3 linked regions of the Elephas maximus indicus genome follow. The protein of the gene in region 1 interacts with the protein of each later gene in a pairwise test. Links are inferred from orthologs where the notes say so. Each region holds a gene or a part of one and is shown on either strand. Other genes may lie near its edges.

What was found.
Region 2: the proteins of DTX2 (region 1) and ARNT2 interact in binary tests that used the Homo sapiens proteins (3 or more experiments, as listed by UniProt). The link is inferred for Elephas maximus indicus from reciprocal best matches to the Homo sapiens genes DTX2 and ARNT2.
Region 3: the proteins of DTX2 (region 1) and ALKBH4 interact in binary tests that used the Homo sapiens proteins (3 or more experiments, as listed by UniProt). The two-hybrid records come from large-scale screens. The link is inferred for Elephas maximus indicus from reciprocal best matches to the Homo sapiens genes DTX2 and ALKBH4.

What each region holds. Positions count from the first base shown.
Region 1 is NC_064830.1:94,111,008-94,114,751, reverse strand, and holds the start of DTX2 (probable E3 ubiquitin-protein ligase DTX2), read left to right. Parts: upstream 1-1,596; 5' UTR 1,597-1,731; intron 1,732-1,993; exon of another isoform or gene 1,994-2,123; intron 2,124-3,333; exon of another isoform or gene 3,334-3,418; intron 3,419-3,744. UniProt on the Homo sapiens protein: Regulator of Notch signaling, a signaling pathway involved in cell-cell communications that regulates a broad spectrum of cell-fate determinations.
Region 2 is NC_064831.1:70,470,489-70,474,232, forward strand, and holds the start of ARNT2 (aryl hydrocarbon receptor nuclear translocator 2), read left to right. Parts: upstream 1-1,494; 5' UTR 1,495-1,587; coding exon 1,588-1,618; intron 1,619-3,744. UniProt on the Homo sapiens protein: Transcription factor that plays a role in the development of the hypothalamo-pituitary axis, postnatal brain growth, and visual and renal function. Specifically recognizes the xenobiotic response element (XRE).
Region 3 is NC_064830.1:93,961,760-93,965,503, forward strand, and holds the start of ALKBH4 (alpha-ketoglutarate-dependent dioxygenase alkB homolog 4), read right to left. Parts: upstream 2,290-3,744; 5' UTR 2,256-2,289; coding exon 2,130-2,255; intron 1-2,129. Other genes in the region: LRWD1 (leucine-rich repeat and WD repeat-containing protein 1), read left to right, coding at 2,483-2,562, 3,145-3,379, 3,472-3,588. UniProt on the Homo sapiens protein: Dioxygenase that mediates demethylation of actin monomethylated at 'Lys-84' (K84me1), thereby acting as a regulator of actomyosin-processes.

The sequences.
Region 1 (3,744 bases):
CTGCTCTGCTAGTTGCCAACTGTATGATCTTAGAGACACTACTTAAGCCCTGTGCCTCGGTACTGTAGTCTTTATAATGGACGATAATGATAGTACCTACTTCATTGAGAGGATTCAATGAGGTGATGCATGCCACGTACATACTAAGTACTTTAGAAATGTTATAGATGGTTACAGTTGAGAGAACTGAGGCTCTCCAAGGGGAAGTGAGAAGTTTTCGTCCTAATATAGACACTGCAGGTACCTAGTATAAATCACAGGTAGAGTGCCACCCTCCATTTTTCCATGAATTATGCTCTGAGAGTAATTGTGTAAATCTGACATTGGGGCCTCCCCAGACCCAAGGTCTGTGTCCTCTAAGGCAGCTCTCAGGCTGTAAAAGGTCCTGGCCTAGGAACCAGAGACTGGGGCTGCTGCAGATTCTTTCTTCACTAACCTTGGGCAGGCTACTCCCCCCTTCTGGGCTTCAGTTTCCTCTTTTATAAAATGAAGCTTTTAAGCTGAATGAGAGGCAAGGTTTCTTCCTCCTTCTCCAGCAGTCTGAATCTGTGTTAAATTCCTGATAAGGTAGGAGTACATTAGGTCATGTAAAGATACTTAACTGCATGTAGCCAGCCCAAGATTCCAAAGACCCTGCGTTTCCTGAAAGGGCTTGCGAAATGGTCTATGGATGTAAACATTCACATTTGAGCTTTTTTCTGAGAGTCGCTTTCTTTAGTTTTTCAAAGGAGGTGTGTGATCTCAAGAGATTAAGCCACCAGCCTGGTTTCAGGCCTTATTATCTTCTGTCAGGACTATGGCAATAGCCTCTGGTCTCCCCACCTCCTTTCTCCTCCTCGCCAATAGATCCTCCGCTTACCACACAGGGCATCTTTCTAAACTGCACTGCTGACCCTTTCATTCCCGATTAAATATTTCCATTGGCTCCAGTTGCCCAAATTCCTTGCATGACTTTTAAAGTCCATCATGATCTTACTCAGCCCTCTCTCCATATTCATAGCCTGCCACACTTAACCCATTGTCTCCTTCCTCCCCCTCCTCTCCAGCCCTCTGCTTTTACCTTAGGGCCACAGGGAACTTTGAAACTTTTCACTGGTTCCTGAATGTGTCAAGAACTTTCATATCTCTCTTCCTTTGCACATCAAAATCCACCTACTTCAAAATCCACCTCAGAGGTCATCTCCTTTGTGAATCTTCGTGACTACCAACCCCCACCCAAAGTTAGGCACACCTCTTTCTGGCTTCCACTTCTTTATCACAGCATTTATCGCCCTAGATTGTAGTTGTGTGTTTAAGTGTCTGTCTCTCCAACAAGATAGGAAGTTCTCCCAGGAGAGAAACGAACTTTGACCATTTAACCTCCAATATTTTTTTTTTAGTCAGCACAGGGCCTGGCATCATATAGTACTGGTAAAAAACAAAACAAATTCTTTCGAACGAGTCAGTGAATTAAAGAAGTCACAAGTGAATAGGTGAAGAGTGAGTTTAGACCTGCACAGGTGCGAATTGCTTTCATCCCTGTGCCCGCTGTCCCGCCGGAACTACATTTCCCAGAAGACCGCGCGTCGTGGGCATGCGTACAGAGCGCTCGGAAGCTGCGACGCCGAGTTTCACTCTAGCTGTCTCCTCAGAGTCGGATCCTTAACTGGAGTGCTGCCCAGGTGAAGCCGGAGTCCCAGCGCGAGCGCCAGCGTTCCCCTCAACCTGTCCTCCTCTCCCGCCTCAGCTTTGGTGAGAGGGACGGGCAGGTCGTCTGCCCGTCGCCTGGGTTGGGGTCCCAGGGGCGGGGGGAGACTGAGCCGAGCTGGGACCGGAAGGGGGAGGCGTGGGAGTGAGGAAGGGCTGTGCTGGGGTCCCGGAGCCCTGGGGGTGAGGGTCTGGGGCTGGGAGGACTGGCCTCCGGGCTGGGGGTCCCAGAGGCGGAAGTTGGGGGAACTGGGAGGCGCTAGGGGCTTAGGACAGGACTGGGTGCCGGGGAGGAGGGTGAACGCTTAGTTAGAAGCTGAAAGGCTGCAGGGGGAGGGGCACAGACCCTAAGAGTTGGAGTCCGTCGGGAGACGTGCGCCCTTTTCCGCTAGGACCTGGAGGAGGTGGTGGCATTGCCACCGGGCTACCTGATTAGGGTATGAGGTCTGCCGCCAGGTGAAGGACTAACTGGGACCCGGGGTTGTGCTTTGGAAGACTTTACTTCGTAACTCAGTTTCCCTCCTCTCAAGTGGGGTTCTCTTTCCCGGAAGCTGTTTCCTGGTCGCTTTTGGGTGATCTGTAAACTATGCTGAAGAGGATTTAAAAGACTCTTCCTTTTTCTGGAGCTATTCTTTTTCATCCTTCCTTTCTCTGTCTGCTGCTGCCTTCCACACAGGTTCCACTTCCCTTAGCGCCCACAGCTGTAGACATAGGGTGTGTACAGACTCTTGGACCATGAATTAAAAGAAAACTCAAAATATTTCTGCATGCTATCCTAGCCCCTCTAGAATTCTGGAAAGTAGAATTTCTGGTAGCCAAAATCAGGCCTTACTTGAGCCATCAGGTTAAGTAAGCCTCTTATTCATTTGCTTTGTGACCATGGCCAAACTTTTACCATCTGGTGTGTTGACTTCCTGGATGTCTGCACTGTAGACGGGGTTATGAAATCCTTTTAGGCCTTCTAAGCAAGGGCTGGAAACCCTGGTGGCGTAGTGGTTAAAAGCTACGCCTGCTAACCAAAAGGTCTGCAGTTTGAATCTACCAGGTGCTCCTTGGAAACTCTGTAAGGCAGTTCTACTCTGTCCTGTAGGTAGGGTCGCTATGAATCGGAATCAACTCGACGGCAGTGGGTTTGGTCCTCGTTTATTCAAGGGCTCAGAAACCCTGGTGGTGTAGTGGTTAAGAGCTACGGCTGCTAACCAAAAAGTCATCAGTTTGAGTTCACCAGGCACTCCTTGGAAACTATGGGGCAGTTCTCCTCTGTTGTGTAGGGTCGCTGTGAGTTGGAATCGACTCGATGGCAACAGTTTTTTTTTTTTTTTTTTTGGTTGGATACAAGCAGGTATAAAAGCGTGTGTGTGTGTGTGTGTGTATTGAACTATGCCCTTGACTGTTGAGTGGGTGGAGGGAGACTACTGTACCTTCTTGCTCTGCCCAGGCTGAGTTGGGAAATCTGATGGTTTGTCCTTTTCCCGAGCTGCAGCACACGGATCCAGCATCTGTGCGTTCGTTTTCACTAACTGCTGTTTCTCAATTTAAAACCTGATCTCTCCTTTCTTACCGGCAAAGGTGCCTTGGAATGTGTGTCGCAGAGTCAGCAAGCCTTTCACATTTGCCTGTTTTTTGTTGTTTGCTTTTTATATCAAGATGGGAACTCAAACAAGTTATTCCTGCTAACGATCTGGTGTCTCCATCAAGAAGGGAGTTTGTGCCAGCTCTCCTTAGAGAAAAGGTGAGAGCCATGGCGACTTCATTTTGCTGCCTTCACAATTTCATTTTCAACAGAGAAGGTAGGGACTGAAGAGGGTGGAATTTGAGGGCTCCAGGATGAAAAGTGAGCCTTGGGAAGTTGATTGTTGATTGCCAGCTGACTCAGATAAATTAAAGTGGCTTCTTGCTAATTGCTTCTCCAGTTTAGCCAGTCTTAGAGGATGCTTTCCACATGATTTCCACTTTAAGACATACTTAATGGGATGAAGGACGGAATCACGATTTCTATATTTGAACTGGAAAATTTTCTTTGTCACATAACCTTTAGTGGGTGCCTCCTTTCTATCA
Region 2 (3,744 bases), on another chromosome or scaffold:
TGTTAACTGGTCACAGTCTACTAACTCTCATAATTAGCACGAGACCACTGTGTTGTGTAAATGCTGCTCTGTACTCAGCAATGAATAACCACTCCATTTCAGACTGTTTACTTAAGGGTGGAGGCTTTCACACACAATCGATGTTTCTGGGTATTTAAACTATTTAACGCCCAGAGATAAGAGAGAAGGCAAGGCCCCCAATTACCCATTCTTCTATCCCTTCTCACCCGATCCCACTCTACCTCCCTGGGCCACCAAATCCCAGCATGTGGGTGACCCGGTTCTAAGTCTTCTCCTGCTGTTGAACCATATGACCTTGGGAAAGGCACTTCTCTACCCTGAGCCTCAGTTTCTGTATCAGCCAACTGTGGGGGCTAATGGTGGGGTGGAGAAACAATGCTTGGGGTGTATTTTCAAATAAGAATTTTCTTCAGGAAGTATTTGTCACTATTGATCTGACTAATAGGCTCTTCATGATATCCATCTGTTTATGGATTCACCACTATGGTGATGTTTTCTACCTAAAAGTCATGACCTTTCACACAGATCTTACTGTGTGGTAGAAAACAACCCCTCCAAGCTCTGGGCAGCCCAGCTCTACCAGGATATGCAAATCAAAGCATCAGAAAAAAAGCATTTTAAATGATCAACTTAAAATTGTAAATAAGGCTCTTGCAGCAACCTCAGATAATAACCAACGACAATCACCATGGCGAGAAGGTAGCCGAGCTTGGGCCCAGCGGCCTCTGCCTGGACGTGTTTACTGAGTGCACCTTGAAGCTTTGTGTTGCGGTGGCCTTGGAGGTGTGGGGGACCTTAGGAATTTCTGGACGTCCTTCCTTCAGCACCGGGGACTGGGTCTCTGCCCCGAGGAGCCTAGTTGCGCGGCCCTGGCATGCTAAGTGGGCAGCACTGGAACGCCTTTGTTTCTTGCGGCCATCTCCAAGGACCCCGTTTCCCTCTTGAATCTTAATGGACTTCGGCCCCACCCGCTCCGCCCTGGCCCACAAGGCTGGGGACGGCGCCCCTCGATGATGCGCCCCCGGACATTTGGGATGTGGGTGTGGGGGGCAAACTAAGGCGGCACGGGAGGGGGTGCGCCTGAAGGCCCCAGCCTGGGCAGGCCCAAGCACCTACGCGGGCCCGAGGGGGCGGACGCCCGCCTGCTTCCCCCCGCCCGCAGGGGCACCCCTCCAGCCAGAGCCTCCAAACTTCGGGGGTCCAGCCGCCCGCAGCCCCAAGTCTCGCGGTGCTACGGCTCGGACGGGGGAGCCACGGGCCGGGCTTCCGAGCGGCGCGGACTGCGCGCCCCCAGCCGCGCGACAAAGGCTGAACCCGGAGGAGGAGGCCGAGGAGCAGGAGGAGGAGGAGATAAAGGCGGGGCGGCGAACGGCGGCGGCGGCGGCGGCGGCGGTGAGAGCGCGGAGGCAGCGACCGCCCGCGCCGTCCTTTGTGTGGCGGCGGCAGCGGCGGCAGCGGCGGCGGCGGCGCCTGGGCCTGCGCCGGCCGCGCCTGGCCCCGGGGGGCGCTCGGCTCCGCGCGCCCCTCCCGCTTCCCGCCGGCGCGCGCCCATCCTTCCCCGGCAAGATGGCAACCCCGGCGGCAGTCAACCCTCCGGGTGAGTAACGGCGCGGCCCGGCCGTTCGGCCGCTGCCCGCAGGCCCTGCCCCGGGGTCGGCGCGGGCCAGGCGCGGCGGGCGTCCTCCGGCCCGGGAGCTGGGCGCTCAGTCCCGGGGTAGGGTGGGGGAGCGGCTGTCACTCCGCGCAGCTGCCTCAACATCAGCACCAGCAAGAGCGCAGCATCTATATCCCTCTCTCTGCCCCATCCCAGACCCCAGGATGCGCCTGCCTGGATTCGCGGGCAGCAGGACTTCGGATTCTGCAGCCCCGGCAGCCAGAAGGACCGGTCCTGGATCCACTCAAGCTCCGATAAAACCATATTTGCCTTCTCCATTCCGCGCATTTTTCTCTTCCGGTCCCAGCCCCTGTGGCATCTCCGCGTCAGTGGGTCTTGGAGGGTAGAAGGGTGCCACACTGACGGAGGGAAAAGTTTGGAGTTAGGATTCAACAGGGTAGAACTCCGGCCCCCAGATTTTCCCCTGCCCGCCTGGCCATCGAGCGCTGGTCCTTTGCCCCTTTGGCAACTGGCGGGTGTGTATCATAGTCATTAGTTCGTACAACCTGTGATAACAGCGTGGGGCATCCCCAGTCCTGCCCAAGTCACATTCTCTGTCATCTGGGGCTGAACTGTGACATCTGTGCTCATTTCGGTAGTTTTTGAAAGTGGAAGGAGGGCAAAAAGGGGACAGCTAGGCTGGCTGTCGCAAAGTTTTGGGTGTTGTGCACTGACTGCTGTGGGTATGGGCTGGAAGCAGGGAGTCAGAGGCCAGTTGTCAGTTGTGGGGAATTCCTAGGAGAGGGAGGTCGTCTGTTGGGGGTGGGGTGTGGTGGGAGGACAGTCACAATGCCTAGCAAGTGTCATCAGAGAGTTAGGAATGAAGTACCCTTTCCAGCCCAGGTGGTGAGCGAAGGTTTTTTGGAGGTTGGATATTTTAGTGAGATCTTGAAGAATTGGAAATTTTGAATATACAGAGCAGGGGGCTGAGGGGCATTGCAGGCAGGAGGGATAGCGTAAGTGATGGTGACTTGCTGTGAGCATGCCTAGGGTTCGGTGAGTCGTTGGTGCACTGGGGTTATCAAAGGGAGCAGTGGGATTGATTGTACATGGAATTGTTTGGATGTGGCCACGCTTCAGAGAACTTCGAATGACAGGCTCAGGAGTATGGGTTCTGTCCCTCCACTTCTGGGAAGACCCTCAATGGTTTTAAACAAGGAAGTCATGTGATCATTGTTCCTCTGGAAGATGAATTTGTCAGCCATACATAGGAGGGGTAGGACTGGAGGCGAAGAGGCCAGGTTGAAATGGAACAGGTGCTGGGGAGGTCCGAGTTAGCTGCGGTGGCTGGGAACAGAGAGGAAAGAAAGGTAAAGGAGTTCAGATGTGGCAGCTGATTAGATTTGGGGTAAGGGAGGAGGAGGAGGTAAAGGAGGTACAAAGGGGAGGTTTCCATGGAGACACAGAGGTGAGGTGCCTGTGTAACTCCAAGGAAAGAGGCTCCATAAACAGAAATTAGGGAGTCCTGGGCAAACAGGCCAGGAGTCCCCTCTCTAGAACATTGGGTGGGAGCAGGGCTGGGTGGGAGCAGGGCTGGGTGGAAAGCACAGCTGGGCCAGTTTGCTTGCAATGGAAGCCTACAATTTCAACCTGCTCAGCTCCTTAAAATCAATAGCAAAAAAAAATCAATAGCAAACTGATCGATTTAAAAGCTGTTAAATTAGAAAAAGCAGAAAATGTTAAATAAGATATTTCTAACATAGGTTAAGATGGGAAATTGGAATGAAAACACAGGGGCAATTTACATAACTTACATACCATCACAGCACTGTTTAAAGCTGTTTTGTCCGTGACATTGTTTTGTGAGCTACAGAATAAATAAGGCCCACCTGCCCAGCTGGTGGTGCTGAGCACATGGATGCCGGTGTCTGGACCAGGGGAGACCTGAATGGTGCAAGCCCCGGGTATTGTTTGTAAACACCTGGCCTCCTTGGCAGACAGTGACTTCTGTGTCATTTCTCTGTTGGTGGAGATAACCAGGGATCTTGAGTGTGGTGAGAATTTCTCAAGTGCCCCGTCTGCAGCTGTGAAAATTTCTTGGGGTGATCACCTGTTCTCTTATCCATCTG
Region 3 (3,744 bases), about 150 kb from region 1:
TAATGTCTACAATGACTTAACCAAACTTGAGGTTAAGGGCACAGTCCTCCAGACTGCCAAGTCTGCCCAAGACTTCAGACACCAGCTGCAAATTCAGGGGTCCAGAAGGCCATCCTCCCTTCTGTCCAGCCTGCTGCCAATTCGGGGGTCCCCATGGATTCTCTCAGGTTCATATAAATTGCTAAGGCGACTCACAGACCCTCGGGAAGTGCTATACTTAAAATTACAGTTTTATTATAGCCAAAGGATACAGATCAGAACCAGCCTAAGAGACACATAGAGTGGAACCTGGAACCGGGAGAGTTCCAAAGGCGAACCTTTTGTGTTCTTAGGGATGAATTACTCTCTTCCGGCGACGATATGTGCCAGTACACGCAAGGAGTACTGCCAACCCAGGAAGCTCACCTGAGCTTGGTGTCCAGAGTTTTATTGGGGGCTTTATTATGTAGGCATGATTGATTAAATCATTCTGTATGTTGTTCAACTCAATCTCCAGCCCCCTCCTCTCCCCTGGAGGCTGAGCTGACATCACATAGCTCAAAGTCCCAACCTCTGATCACATGGTTGGTCTTTTCTTGTGTGGCCAGCCCCCATCCCGAGTCATCTCCTTATCATAAACTATCTAGGGGCCCACCATAAGTTCTTCTGGCTTTCTTGACTAACGTAAGAGTTAGAACCTAACGTAGTATTTGCTGGATTATATGTACCACTCAGTTTTAATCCTCAGGACAACCCCAGGAGGTAGGGACCATAGCTGCTCCTGCATGTGAGGCTCTGGCCAGAGCTTGCCCAGCTAGGACTGCAAAGCCCATCAAAGCTCCACCCTGGCCCTCTGTGGCCTCTCTTCTCTCCCTGCTCCCATCCCCAGGGCCCTACTGCTGGTCCTCCATTCTTCTCTCACTGTTCTCGCCCCCTGAAGCTTCACCTTCAGCCTCTGACTTCAGCTTAGATGTCTCCTGAGCTTTGGGCCACCATCTCCTGTCTCCTGGACCCCTCGCACTGGACATCTTGCTCTCCTCATCCAACAACCATCCAAGCTGGGATGGTGCCACCCCACAGTGCCCCATGTCTCCAGGCTTATGGCCACCAGCCTGAACTGTTTCAGGCCCCCAGCACTTCTACTGTGAACACCGCAGAGATTTCTCCACTGGCTTCCCAGCCTCCATACCTTCATACCATGCCTCTCAGTCTACCCCAGGAGCTTTTTAAAATTCACATCTGACCGTTTAGGAGCTCCCTGTGGACTTTAGGACACATCCACCCTGCTCAGTGGACACACAGGCGTCTCCGTCGGCAGGCTCCATTGCTTTTTCCAGCCTGAGCCTCACTCCACTCTCCAAGCACATGCACTTCCCCCAGGCCTTTGTCTAAGCAGCTCCAACATGGACCGTGCTTGCAGCCAACTAAAATATTTCCAGGCCACGTGGCGCAGTGGTTAAAGTGATCACTGCTAACCAAAAGGTCCGCAATTCAAAATCATCAGAGACTCCAGGGGAGAAAGATGAGGTAGTCTGCTTCCTAAAGATTTACACCTTTGGAAACCCTAAACCCACTTTCGCTATTGGTCAGAATCAACTCCACAGCAGTGGGTTAAGTTTTTGGTTAAATAGGAATTAATATTCTCCTTGAGTGGTTAAGCGTTGGCTGCTAACCAGGTCGCCAGTTCGAATCTGGCAGCCGCTCCTTGGAAACTCTATGGGGCAGTTCTACTCTGTCCTATAGGGTCGCTATGAGTCAGAATTGACTGAACAGCAACGATTTTTTTTTTCTTTTTGGACAATTTCGGTCCAAGTTGTTTGGGGCCCCTTTGCCCTGGCTTCCCCCACCCTCACTCTTTCTGTCTTCTCCCCAGGTCCCGTGAAGCTCAGCACCAGACAGGGAGGGGCTAGGTCGAGGTTTGCTGACACACTCCCCAAGGTCCCGGAGGTGAACTGTGATTGGACGACACCCCACGTGGAGGAGCCCCTTCTCTACACCCAAGACCACTCCTCAAAGCCCTCATCCCCTCACCCTGCAACGCCCCGGGCTCCTGACAGTCTGGTCCTGGCCCGTCTCGTGACTAATCTGGGCCTCAGTTTCCCCATATGTAGAATGGAGTTTGTGGGCGCGGTCCATGTCCCAGTCCTTACCTGCGGAGGGAGCTGCCAGGACAGGTCACCACCGCGCTGCCGCTCGCAGATCAGACAGGTCCTGATGCCCTTGCAGCCACATTCCTGAAGGACCTCTGGTGCCTCTGCCACCGTCGCCGCCGCCATAGCCCCGCCCGGGCAGCCAGGACGCAGGCGCGGGGCCGCGTGGGCCGCTGGGAGTTGTAGTCCTCACCGCTGGACACGTGGTCCGAGGGCCCGCTTCCTTCCGGTCTTCACCGCTGACGGGCTCGCGAGGCGCCGCCTTCTGGGCTTGCTCACCGCCGGGCGACAGTACCGGGCTTCTCGAACGCTGGAGCTGCCGTTGGTGGCGGCACGGGCCACGCCTTCTCGCCATGGGCCCCCTCTCGACGCGGCTGCTGATGCAGCGTGGCCGGCCCAAGAGCGATCGGCTTGGGAAGATCCGCAGCCTGGAGTAAGGGCTGGGCCGGGGGCGAGGTTGTGTCCGCGGGATCAGGGCCACACAGCCCGCCACCCAGGCTGTCTGGGCTGCCCGGGCCTGGGCTGCCGGGGGTCGGGAAGAAAGCCTGGGGCCCTCCCCGACTCCATGCCCATCCCGGTTAGCGCCTCTTCGGTTCGCCATCGCCCCATCGCCAGGTGCCTTCCTCTAGTGACACGGGGCCGAACCGCCACCCTACCCGTGTGCCCCCTGGGCCCCGAGTGGCCTTACTCCGGAAAAGTGCCCTGACTGCTAGGGTGACAGACAGTGTTGATATAACTGGGGTGGGGGGGCCGTGGGGAGCACAGGGAGCCCCCAGAGGATCAGGAAAACCATCCTGGAGGGGACTATGCTCGGCTGAGCCCTGAAGTATGGCAAGATTAAAAATAAGTAAATAAAAAGTGTGAGGGGTGGGGAGGAAGGGGTTGTGCATGTTCCAGAAATGTGAGGGGAGAAGGCCATCTGAGGCCAGGGGCAGCTGGAGGTGTAGGGTGGGAGGCATGCCGGCCCCCTGCTTGCCCCCTGAGCCTTCCACGTCTGCCTCCCTCCTCACCTCAGCCTGTCAGGGCTGAAGCTACGCTCTGAGCACTTGGACCCCAGTCTCCTGGGCCGCCTAAGGCAGCTGCAAGAGCTGGACTTGTCCAACAACCAGCTGGACACACTGCCTGCCAACCTGGGCCTGTCCCACCTGCGCATCCTCCGCTGTGCCAACAACCAGCTGGGGGACGTCACTTTCTTGTGCCAGTTCCCACAGCTCGAGGAGCTCAGCCTGGAGGGCAACCCCTTCCTGACGGTGAGTGCCTCCCCCAGGCCCCAGGCCCTGGGGCCAGGACTCTTCTGGGATCAGATGGGCAGCCTCTGAGCCATGGTTCCCTTATCTCCCAGGTCAGTGACAACCTGAAAGTCTCCTTTCTCCTGCCCAAGCTCCGTAAGGTCAATGGCAAAGAGGCTTCCGCAACTTTCTCTCAGGTGGAGAACCTGAACCGGGAGCTGACCAGCAGGGTAAGGGCAGTGTCTCTGGGAAGCTGGAGGCAGCATTGAGGAGGGAGTGCAGAATGAGACATTTGGAGGACACTGAGGGCTGCTGTCCTGACACAAAGGGGCCCTTACATCCCTAAGCCTGGCCTGAGCCAGGTGCTGCCTCTCCTCTGAAGTCAG